4 linked regions of the Saccharomyces cerevisiae S288C genome follow. The main gene of each other region encodes a partner of the protein of the gene in region 3 in a complex. Each region holds a gene or a part of one and is shown on either strand. Other genes may lie near its edges. The genes, in order: MRPL35, IMG2, MRPL36 and MRPL38.

Evidence for each region.
Region 1: MRPL36 (region 3) and MRPL35 share a complex: the UniProt entries of both Saccharomyces cerevisiae proteins name them as parts of the mitochondrial large ribosomal subunit.
Region 2: MRPL36 (region 3) and IMG2 share a complex: the UniProt entries of both Saccharomyces cerevisiae proteins name them as parts of the mitochondrial large ribosomal subunit.
Region 4: MRPL36 (region 3) and MRPL38 share a complex: the UniProt entries of both Saccharomyces cerevisiae proteins name them as parts of the mitochondrial large ribosomal subunit.

What each region holds. Positions count from the first base shown.
Region 1 is NC_001136.10:1,108,907-1,112,221, reverse strand, and holds MRPL35 (mitochondrial 54S ribosomal protein mL38 MRPL35), read right to left. Parts: upstream 1,634-3,315; coding exon 530-1,633; downstream 1-529. Other genes in the region: TIM11 (F1F0 ATP synthase subunit e), read left to right, coding at 1-219; asparaginase ASP1, read right to left, coding at 2,375-3,315. UniProt on the Saccharomyces cerevisiae protein: Component of the mitochondrial ribosome (mitoribosome), a dedicated translation machinery responsible for the synthesis of mitochondrial genome-encoded proteins, including at least some of the essential transmembrane subunits of the mitochondrial respiratory chain.
Region 2 is NC_001135.5:239,572-242,114, forward strand, and holds IMG2 (mitochondrial 54S ribosomal protein mL49 IMG2), read right to left. Parts: upstream 973-2,543; coding exon 532-972; downstream 1-531. Other genes in the region: peptidylprolyl isomerase family protein CPR4, read left to right, coding at 1-440; RSA4 (Rsa4p), read right to left, coding at 1,234-2,543. UniProt on the Saccharomyces cerevisiae protein: Component of the mitochondrial ribosome (mitoribosome), a dedicated translation machinery responsible for the synthesis of mitochondrial genome-encoded proteins, including at least some of the essential transmembrane subunits of the mitochondrial respiratory chain.
Region 3 is NC_001134.8:483,391-486,498, forward strand, and holds MRPL36 (mitochondrial 54S ribosomal protein bL31m MRPL36), read right to left. Parts: upstream 1,114-3,108; coding exon 580-1,113; downstream 1-579. Other genes in the region: transcription factor TFIIIC subunit TFC1, read right to left, coding at 1,352-3,108. UniProt on the Saccharomyces cerevisiae protein: Component of the mitochondrial ribosome (mitoribosome), a dedicated translation machinery responsible for the synthesis of mitochondrial genome-encoded proteins, including at least some of the essential transmembrane subunits of the mitochondrial respiratory chain.
Region 4 is NC_001143.9:128,763-131,590, forward strand, and holds MRPL38 (mitochondrial 54S ribosomal protein uL14m MRPL38), read left to right. Parts: upstream 1-1,871; coding exon 1,872-2,288; downstream 2,289-2,828. Other genes in the region: protein kinase NNK1, read left to right, coding at 1-1,499; putative serine/threonine protein kinase KKQ8, read right to left, coding at 2,526-2,828. UniProt on the Saccharomyces cerevisiae protein: Component of the mitochondrial ribosome (mitoribosome), a dedicated translation machinery responsible for the synthesis of mitochondrial genome-encoded proteins, including at least some of the essential transmembrane subunits of the mitochondrial respiratory chain.

The sequences.
Region 1 (3,315 bases), on a different chromosome or scaffold from region 3:
ATTTTGAAGTGTAATGCTAAGAAGAAAGAGGAGCAGGCACAGTACGAGGAGAAATTGAAGCTGGTAGAGGAGGCAAAGAAGGAATACGCCAAGCTACACCCTGTAGTAACTCCTAAAGATGTGCCTGCGAACGCCTCATTTAATTTGGAAGATCCTAATATAGATTTTGAAAGAGTTATTCTTAACGCCGTTGAATCCCTGAAGGAAGCTTCAACATAAATAGAAGCTTCAACATAAATAGGATACTAAAAATGCACATTAGCTCGCACTGAATGACGAAGTTATGATGGATTCTCGTTCGCTAGATGTTCCATATTTTTTTCTTCATTCGTTAGTGCACAAACAATAAGGAAAAAAATGAAATGTATATATTCTAGAACATACTAATATCATACGTATCGTATTGTAAACAAAATTCACATTCCAAAAATTTTTCAGATTCTTACTTTATATTATTTGCATCAAGCTTTATTAACAATGACACGTTATTTTATATGTACAGGATACTATAATGTCATACTATTTAGGATCACCTTCTAACTCTGCTAAAAACCCTTCCAGGTGGTAGGCCATATTTTTCTCTGACGGCGGCGACTTTGGCATCCCATTCGCTTCTCCAGATATGTGCCCCAATAGCGGTTAGATTGTATTTCTTCGTAAATTGCCTGATATCAAAATCATCTCTACTTAGTTCCTTTCGGTCAATCTCTAACATGTTAGGACCTTGCTTATCCTCGATTAAGGGTTGTCTGAATACCCAAACAACGAATCTCTGTTTTCCAGCATTCTTTTCAGGTACCGGAGGTAAGTAGTCAGCGATAATATTAGAACTGTGGAACTTTCTTGGATCTATTAAATTGTCATTATAAGTCAAATTAATATTCACCAATCCGTAACACAAAGCCGTTTTAAATGAGTCATTACTCAAATCTGGAACATCAGGATTGACTATCAGTACCGTATACAATTGTTTTTCAACGTTCACAAGTTCATATTCTTGAATTTTGAAAATGGGACGCATGGATGTGACATTGGACGATAGAAATTCACCAGGTTCGATCCACTTATTTACACCAGTAGAGAAGGGAAATTTGATATTCACTTCTGCCCGTGGAACCAGAGTTGGAAGAGTATCAGGAATGGCAGCCAACGTTTCTAACCTTTGCATCAATAACATCTGGCCGTACGATTCCCAATGTTGTTTCCCCAAATGTCTGTACACTGGCACATCATAATCTATTATATCCTTAACATTGTTCAACTTGTTATTAAACTGAAAATTGTATTGTACCTCAGGATTATTGATCTCTGCTTTTATGAGAAGTGCATCCTTCTTCAAGGGATTTTTAGTCTTATTGGCCAACTCATAAAACTTACTGGATCTTTGCTCAAGAAAATCATAACTCATCCTGAAAATCTCATCAATGTGTTCTGGAGGTGAATATTTGATACGGTTACTTCTTCTGCTGATAGATGGTGGGTCTAGAGAAGCTTTCTTCTGGAAAAGGTAATTTTTCACTTTTGAAGATTGGATAGAAAGTGAACTAGGCCTTGTGGTAAAGTCCGACCAAATATGCGAAGTAGCATTAGGTTTTTGGAGGATTTTAGTGGTATGAATAGATCTTCGTAACATAGTTCGGCAGTGACCTTGATTTCTGTAAAGATCTCTGAATAAGCTTTTTGCTGTAGTCTGATATTGTATTGGATACTGTTGTCTTATCCCAGACCTTCCGGCTTCCGGTTTAGCCCGGAAAATTTGAAAAGACTGCGACAGTAAATCCCAAACACATAAGAAAATAAAAAAAGGAATACATAAACAAAAATGGATATATAAAGGCTAATTTTTTTTTGTTTATCAAATATTCCTTATTTTTTAACTTTCTTAAAAATATTTAAACACCAGATTTCGAAAAAAGTAATATTTATTCTTTAAAAATGCGGTGACCAGCGGGCGATGATAATCAAATATTTAAAAATGATATAATGATAAAACTTGAATTATTTTTATAGGAAAAGTGGAACCAAAAGATTTTCTAATGCACTGATATCATGAGCAGTTAATGAAAAATTATTAATATTATTTTTTTTATATTTTTATTCAAAAATAACATTCAAAATTTAATTTTAATAAACTCATTTAAAAAAAACCTCTAAAAACATGAAGATAGAACTATAATAACGGCTTCAGTATTCAAGACAAAGCCATGTGCAGGTGAAACGATAGAAAAGTGACATAGCCGAGACAATCTAAATGAAGAATTCCTGTACTCATCTCAGACTAGCATTAACAGGGACTTGCATAATTATATCTCTATCTCTGTGTCTATGTATATATATATATATATCGACACAAATGCAAAAAATTACAAAATTTTCACCCACCATAGACGCCAGTGAAAACATGTTTAATTTCTTCCAACGTGTAGTTACCTGCCAAACATAATTGTAACAAGATTCTGCTCTTTTCAGGGCTTAGATAACCAGATGCGATGAGATTATCCTCCTTTGAACCTTTCTTTGGTACGTTGGCAATAGGCACCATACCATCCATCGATCTCTTGGAATATACGATCGGCAAACTCAATTTCATGCAGGTTTCATTGACCTCCTCCGGCAATGAACCAGCACCCATGGTAGCAAGAACAATACCATCATACTTATCTGCCACTAAGTTGACTATAGCTGGCGGAAAGGCTTGGTGAGCATATAAAATGCAAACCTCTGGTAATTTAAAATGCTTACCGTCCACTCTCAGTTTGAATTTGTGGCAACCTTGCGGTTTCACAGGAGGATAATAGTAGTGAATTTCATTGTTGACAAAATTTCCTAAATAGCCTTGTCTAACATTAAAAGAATCCAAACTATTTGCATTCGTCTTAGTAATGTAGTAACCAGAGGAAATTTGGTCATTCAAGGAAACAAGAACACCTCTTCCTCTAGATTTTGGATTTGAAGCAATGCAAATTGCTTGGTAAAGGTTCATAGGGCCATCAGCAGAAACGCTGGTTGAAGGACGCATCGAACCAACAAAAACAATAGGAACGTCGCCAGCATCAATAGTACTTTCAATAAAGAATGCAGTTTCAGATAGCGTATCAGTCCCATGGGTAATAACTATACCGTCAAAAGCCTGCAACGATTCTGAGACGCCCTTATAAATTTTATAAAGAATATCCTCGTTTATGTCTTTAGAATCCACGTTGCATAGTTGCTCATATTCAATGTCACAGACCTTGGATATATCTGGAATGGCATCCAATAGATCTTGGATGGTCAGGTCAACATGATAGCCGGCAGTTTGAGAGGAGTCTATAG
Region 2 (2,543 bases), on a different chromosome or scaffold from region 3:
CCACTAAAGCCGATGGAAATGAGGAATTGGATGGCAAAAGTGTCGTGTTTGGTCAAATAACTTCTGGTCTAGATCAACTAATGGATGCTATTCAATACACAGAAACAGACGAATATGGAAAGCCTCAGCATGAATTACGGTTCCTGTATTTCGTTCTAGAAATCTTAAAAATTAGTAACATCTTAGATTTGCACGCTGCGTACACAGAAAAAGTCGAGAAGTTTAGAAATGGCGATGTGTCTGTTGGCTCCACTTTGGAAAACATCTTCCGTAACGATAAAGCCTACACACCTTTAACCACCTCCACTGGAACCACCGCCTATGATTTAAACCACCCAATTTCCAGAGCCTTGATGTGTTTAACTGTTCTTGGCCTTTGTTTCATTGCCTACAAGGGCATGCACGAAAAGCCTCATACGGTTTCATTAAGACACAAGTAAGCAACTTCTTTTCGATGGCTTGATGACCACATGGCTATGATTTTAATTAATATATATACATGACAATTATTTTTTTATACATTAGCGATACCTAAAATTTCTTGGTTAATACCCTTTTGACAGCCTCTACTGCATTGCCCTTGATAATAATTTTTTTCGATTGCATCACCACAGACCATGATTTTTTGGGTATGAAAGGCAGTTGCTCCTGCAAGTCATTTCTTAGTTGAATTACATCTCCTTCAATCTTTCTGATCTCCGTGATAATCTTGTTACCTCCATTTTTATAAGCGGAATACACCGGTAGATTTCCGGTCCTGCTTCTCTCCACGTAGTAGGTCTTTTTACCAAAATTGTTGTTTCCTATGAGCTCATGCATCTTCACGTCTTCCAGCTTTGGAAATATTGGCGCCTCAGCAGCTTTATTTGAATTAGTGGATATACATCTTATCGTTTGGTATATCGAGGCAGTGGCAGGCCCTGGAAGGCATTTACCCCTACCAAAACATCTAGTAACACACGAACTGATCATAGTTTTGCTCACACGCTACCTTGGAGTAAGTTGCTTTAGGTAAACGGGCACTTCTTTCAAAAGGTTTTCCTTCTTGCTGGAGCTATACTGCTTATAGTACCATATTTTAAATTCATACCAAGCCATTCGTACGCGATGACCATTATAGATCGACCTTGCGACACCATCATATTTAATATTCAAAAAGAAAAAAATGCAGTTCTATATCACAGTTATATAATATTTATATGTGCATGTATGTTACTTGTCTTTGCACATAACTCAATGCGTCCACAATCTTACCATCTTGTCTTTCCCACCACTACACACTCTTTTACCGTCGACACTCCAGTCGACGGTATAAACTTCGTCTTTATGACCAGGGAGGTCAACAGAAAGTTTTCTAGTTCTTACATCCCACACTTTCAACGTGGTATCTTTGGAACATGACACCAGTAGTCGGCAGTCCGATGACCACGCAACCTGGTATACGCTGGCTACATGCCCTCTAAATGTGGAGATAAACTTACCATCTCTACCGTCCCAAAGTTTGATAGAGTTATCAAAAGACGCTGAGACAATATACCTACCATCAGGGCTGAACGCCACATGATTGACTAATTTTTGGTGACCGGTCATTCTTGCTATAGGCTTGGTAGATTTTAGTGGGTTCCATAAAAACATGGTATAATCATCGCTTGCAGTAACCATCATTTCTTCTGAATTTCCATTCTTTTTACAGATTTTTTCATAATTTTCCAATGCCTTTTTCTGGGCTTCTTCTGGTGTAGAAGGCTTCTTACCTGTATGATCGAATGCACCAATGCGCAATGCGTAATCTGTAGATAAAGATAAGTGATTAACCCAGTGCGCATGCGACTTCAAAATGTTGATACATCTGCCCTGCGAATTGATGTCCCATACACGTACGGTTCTATCGTGAGAGCCACTATACAATAGACCTTGGCCGCCCCATTTGACACAAGACACTGAATTTGTGTGACCACTCATCGTATACTGGCAAACTCTGCTCACAGTGTCCCAAATCTTAATAGTACCATCCTTAGAAGATGAAGCTAATCTTGGTTTGGAGCCCGGCTTCACAAGATGTATAGGTTCCCAACTTAAAGAAGTGATCCACTTGGAATGACCTCTGAGAGCATCACCTAGACACTGACCGCTTTTTGGGTCCCATAATCTTATGGTATTGTCCATGGATCCCGTAGCAATTACTTCTCCATCGGGGGACCAGGAAACGCAGAGAACCCAATTGTAGTGACCCTTTAGAGTATGCATTGGCGTTTGGGTGTCACAGTCCCAAATCCTTGCAGTATTATCACCTGCACCGGTTACCATCCTAGAACTCGTATGTGGTGCGAAGGCAGAACACAAAATTGTGGAACCGTGACCTGCAATGGCTGATGAACTTCTAGTTACCGGCTTGACTTTGAAAACTGCTCTTGGCGTATACAGTAGCGTGATCTGATCTTCTGTACTGTTATAGCCTGGTTTTATTAATGAAGAATATAGGTTATCTGTTATATCAATCGTCTTCACAGGGTCACTGGCCTTCTTACCTTGAATTGTACAGC
Region 3 (3,108 bases):
TAACAATCTGAGAGTAAAATCGTCTACTGATATTGAAGAACGACAATTTTTCTTGAAAATCAACACGAATGCAAAAAGGGAAACTAAAATAAAAGAAATCCTCAAAAGTAATTGAACAGATTTCGAGTCCTAATTGCAAGTAAAATTATGTATACAAAGTACGTGATAAGTATCGCAGCAGTGATTCAACACTCGAGAAGAGTAAAAATTTTCAATTTTTTTCCACTGCGCTGAAATATTACGAGGCGTAGAAAATGATCACTACAATGCCGTTGCTGCTTATTGCAGCGTAAGTGAGCTTCATTCACAGACCATTTGCCTCGATAATCCATGAATCATATCTGGTTCATATTATGTTTGTAAATGTGTGTCTTGTTGCACTTAATCTATCGCGATAGCGCCAAACCAAGCGTTCGCAGAATCTTCGTTGTCAATATATACATATGTAGACGTATGTGTATATGTTGCGGTATATACAAGGCTGTTTATGTAGTCTTCAAACAGATGCGATTGAGATCTATGTCCCAAAAGGAATATAAATTGGTTCGAGAATAGAAAAGTAAGGGGAGCAAACACTATTCACTTCTTGTCTCTCTTCTTACTGGCCAACTTACCTGATTTGATCTGTTGTTCACTATCGTCTAACAGAGATAGATAGTCATCCATACCGAACGCTTTTTCAGAAACGTCTTCCTTCTCCTCCTTTTTAATCTGTGTTTTCTTTTTATTTTCTTCAGATAGTTCAACTGTTTCAGAGCTTGAATTTGGGGTCGTTGAATCGACAGAAAACAAAGAGCTATACCTCTTGTTAAATCTGTCCAAGCTACCACCAGAATTAGCATCCACAACGACTAGGTCATCCCTGCTAGGATTCCACAGCGGATTATTTCTCTGGTCTTGAATTAATCTAATTTCACCCTTTGGATATTGGGATCTCCGGATAACTACACTTCCATCACTCAACTCCATTTTGACATTGAATTGGTGATAAATAGCCGGTCGTGACTTCCCCAGTTGAATTTTTTTTGCAGGCCTTCTTGGCAAAGTAATTCTTGTAGAACCAGGATATGACCCTGTGGAAGCAAATCGCTTCGCAAATATAGACTTCAACATTAGGAGTGAACAAAACGTGTGTTCGTTTGCGTTGGTACCCGTTCTTTCTGGAGGCATTCTTAACTTTTAGGAATAATAATGATACCCTTTCATTTTAGTTATTTGATTTTGATGCATTTTGCACGAGATAATCGCTCTTTACGGTTTGGGGACAAAACTCAGAAATATCACATACGTAGTTATGGTTTTATTGCACATTTGGCATATTTTGATATTGAAATAAAAGAAAACCTACTTATTACAGATCGACTTCATCAACAAATCCCTTGAGCTCGCTTTTCATTGTTTCCGCGGTTTTAGGATCTAGTTTAGCTATTTTATTTATGATATCTTGGAAGCTCGCTGTTTTAACATCAAAACTTTCTTGTTCTTCTTCATCTGCATCAACGTCATCCACGTCATCGTCTATACTTGCAGGCACCTTCAAGTTCTGATCAGTGTCCATCTCTTCATTTTCCAAAGCAGCGTCGTCTGGCTCTTCAGTTATGGCGCCATTATCATCAAAATCATCACCAGCAGCGATACCCTTATCCTCCTCTATGGCATTTGAGGACATTTGACTACCTGCATCCATATTTATGTCCCCATCAGCATCTTTATTGGTGTTAACACCCATTCCCTCTTCTGAGTTCTTGTTTTCGGGTACCATGGATTCTTTAACAAATAACATTGTCTTGAAATACTTCAACTTGTATTTATTATACTCATAATTTCCTTGAACCATGCAACCAAGTTCGTATTTTACTATCCTTCTTATCTTGACCAAGTCTAATTCTTTGAACCATCCAGTTAGTTCATTCGCCTTATCTAAATATTCGACGTTGTGAAAAACTTCTGCAATGTTTGGCTCACCAATTAATAAATCAATCTGCAACATCAGGTACCACGGTATTCTTTTTCCATCAAATTTGAACCTGCTGTCAATACCGCCTGGAGTGTCTGATTCGAATACCAGGGGTGGTGGCTTTGGTACATTCTTTTTCACTATGGGAGAAGATAGTAATTTCCTTTCAATCTTAAAATATTCTGTTTGATATTGGGCGTATTCCACTGAACTTCTGGGGTCTATACCAAATTTGATATATGTATTTCTCCAAGGCCCCATTGTGAAACGATAAGATATGAGTGCCAGCGCTATCTTCATAGTATGGTGTATCTTCTTCGGGACAATCCCATCAAGATGTCTTTTAACCCAAATTGGACGTCTAGCGAAGAGCTCTCTCAAAATTTTCAAGCATTCCTCCAGCGATTCATAAAATTTAGAGTCACTTTTAGTGCCTGGATAGACTTTTGTTTTCTTCGCGACCTCAAAATCGTACAGGACTTGTTCATGAGCTTGGGACGGTATAACTGTCTTATCACTAAGATCATGAACAAACAACTGATAGTTTTTGATATATGTTCCCTTCACTTCTGTGACACCGTTTTTTTTTTTTTTCGCAAATGGATTAGCTTTATATTTATAAAGCAGGGGGAAACCAACCATTGATAACTTAGGAGGTGGCGGCAGTTGGAAATCTGTACTCGGAATTTTAACGCTACGGTCTAAGATCAAATTCCCGATGTTTTCCTGAGGTTGAGAGTCATTATCTGGTACAGAATTGACAAAACTTTTGAAATTATTCCATTCCAGAGAGCCAAAGCTACTTTTGAACTCTCTTGCAGAGGGGACATTATCCAGTTTGATTTGAAAATCTGACATTTCTCTAAATTTTATAGTGTTATCTACTATGGAAACAGGAGTGACTCTCAATTTATTCGAATCTTTTAAGGATTTGATAGAATCTTTGACGCTATTATTATTTTTACTTAAAGTTCCCTTAGGCATTGTAACCTTTAATATGACCGACTCATCTCTGAAGGGAACTCTTTTACCAATTACAGGATGCTCATTAAAATAGCTCTTGGATCCGTCGCTATCAGTATCATCGTTTAAGTACAGTTGTAATCCGTGCTGAGATTCGATAGGTCCATGTTCTTTAAAGGCTTCTTTCA
Region 4 (2,828 bases), on a different chromosome or scaffold from region 3:
GTGGAAGCGCAGGTGGCAGTGCGAGACCAGACGATAAGGGTATGGAAATACTAGGTCATCGGTTGGGTAAAATCATAGGTTTCGGCGCATGGGGGATCATACGGGAATGCTTTGATATTGAAACTGGTGTTGGTAGAGTGATAAAAATTGTGAAGTTCAAAGGACACCAAAATATCAAGAAACATGTGCTGAGAGAAGTAGCCATATGGAGGACTTTGAAGCATAACAGAATACTCCCCCTTTTAGATTGGAAGCTTGATGACAACTATGCAATGTATTGTTTAACGGAAAGAATTAACGATGGTACCTTATACGACTTGGTAATATCTTGGGACGAATTCAAACGTTCGAAGATACCATTTGCAGAGAGATGCAGATTGACCATTTTTTTAAGCTTACAACTATTATCTGCATTAAAGTACATGCATTCCAAAACGATTGTTCATGGTGACATCAAATTAGAAAACTGTCTGTTACAAAAAGAAGGTAAAAAATCGGATTGGAAGGTTTTCCTATGCGATTTTGGAATGAGTTGCCACTTCGATGAGAAGCATGTTTATCGTAACGATACTTTTGATGAAAACTTGAGTAGTGGCAACAGCCATAGAAAGAGAAAAAGTATTGAACAAACTAATTTGATAAAGTATCCCACAACCAATTTTTTACCTGACGACCGAACTAATGATTTTGACGCTAGTGAAAACTTAAAATACCAATTTGAAAATCGAAAGCATCAACCGTTTACACCAAAAGGAATGGTTAGCTCCAGTTCACATTCATTAAAGCATCTCAATCAACCATCCTCTTCTTCTTCTTCTAATCTATTTCACAAGCCAGCCTCTCAACCTCAACCACAGCATCGGAGTCCCTTTCATGGGAGGCACAAGACAACCGATTTTTCAAACCTGGAACCCGAACCTTCTAAATATATCGGATCTCTGCCTTACGCTTCGCCAGAACTTCTAAGATACTCAGATGCAAGACGTTCAAAATCAGTTGAAATGCATATTTATGATTCACCAGACTCCTCTCAATCGGAAATTAGCGCAGCATCATCATCTTCCTCTAATTTATCTTCTCTATCATCCTCTACAAAGGCGTCCGCAGTCACGAATTCCGGTGTAACTACAAGTTCACCGTCTGGTTCATCGACTGATTTTCCATGTATTGTTTCTCCTTTAGGACCAGCATCCGATATTTGGGCCTTGGGAGTAATGCTATATACAATGTTAGTAGGAAAATTACCCTTTAATCATGAGTTCGAACCTAGGTTACGCTCTCTGATTAAAGTAGGCGAATTTGACCGATTTTCTTTAGCTCAGGTCTGTAAATTTGACAGGAAAAAAAATGAAGGAACGATTGGTCAAGGCTTGTATGACACAGTCATTGGATGTTTGACGATTGACTTGGATAAGAGGTGGAAATTGAAAAGGATTGAAGAAGTCCTTCAAAACGAAATGAACCTAAGCGAGGCCATTCACGATAATAATGGCTCATGACTTATGATTAATGATATTGATTGCATTGAAAAAATACATACATTGTGCTTACTTTTTTTTCTCCCATTTTATAAATTATAACGAACTTCATAATTACTATTACGAAATATGTAAATAAGTATTTTTATCGCATATTTGATGCCTCTATCACTTATTTGGCGCTATTCATTGCGACTCGTGCAACGTGCGAAAACTCAGAATATTTTTTTGAACAGCCTTAAATCATGTTGCTAAATGACGGATGGAAGAAAAGGGACCTATAGAAGAGTTCGGATAAATTGTGAAGCGTGGATATTGGCATAGCGGATTTGTAGAACGGTGTGTCGTCAACCCTTTGAGATCTGGATAAGCCATATTTTCTAACATCACAACATGATATTTCTAAAATCTGTCATCAAGGTAATCGACAATTCAGGTGCACAATTAGCAGAATGTATTAAAGTAATAAGGAAAGGGTCCCCCAAGAGTCCTGCAATGGTTGGAGACAGAATAGTCTGTGTTATACAGAAAGCAAAGCCCTTGACTCAAAACATTACGGGGACAGCCAACACCAACCGTGTCAAAAAAGGTGATATTTGTCACGCAATTGTCGTAAGGTCTAAACAGCGTAACATGTGCAGAAAGGATGGCTCCACCGTTGCATTCGGAGATACTGCTTGCGTTTTGATTAATAAAAATACCGGTGAACCTCTGGGGACAAGAATTATGGCTAATGATGGTTGTGTAGATAGAACACTGAAAGACAAGGGATACAATAAGATATGCTCTTTGGCAAGTAGGGTCATATAAGAATAAAAGTACCCCCATTTTCCATTCATTAACGTTATAATCAAGGGACTGTAAACCAGCAAAAGAGCTTTGTCGTCATTATTTAATTAACCACCTGTATATATTGCTTAAATTTTAATGTATGACTTTAACTTTGAAAACGCATGAACGTGCTGCTGACGTTCTACTCATTGGAGTTGTATTCTTTTTCTTGTCTTATTCTATAATTGCATGCCGTGAATATTGTATACAAGATATTTATGTGGAATCATATATTAGGCAGCAATTCGTACTTTTCATCCACTGCATATCTAAAAGTTTGCCAACAGAAATCCTTTTTCTTGGTTCCCATTGAAAGATGCGATATAATGCGATTTTTCTATTTGTGGCCAACTCTGAGTTTACGTGCTTTAATTCTTCGAATACCCTAAACTGGTTTTTACGCTGCATTTCCTTGTAAAATTCATCATAAGACATATCTTTTTCTCTCGAAGCTACTTTCCAAAGATAATGCCCCAATATCATTGTTATATAAACAACGCCACAACTCCAACAGTCAAT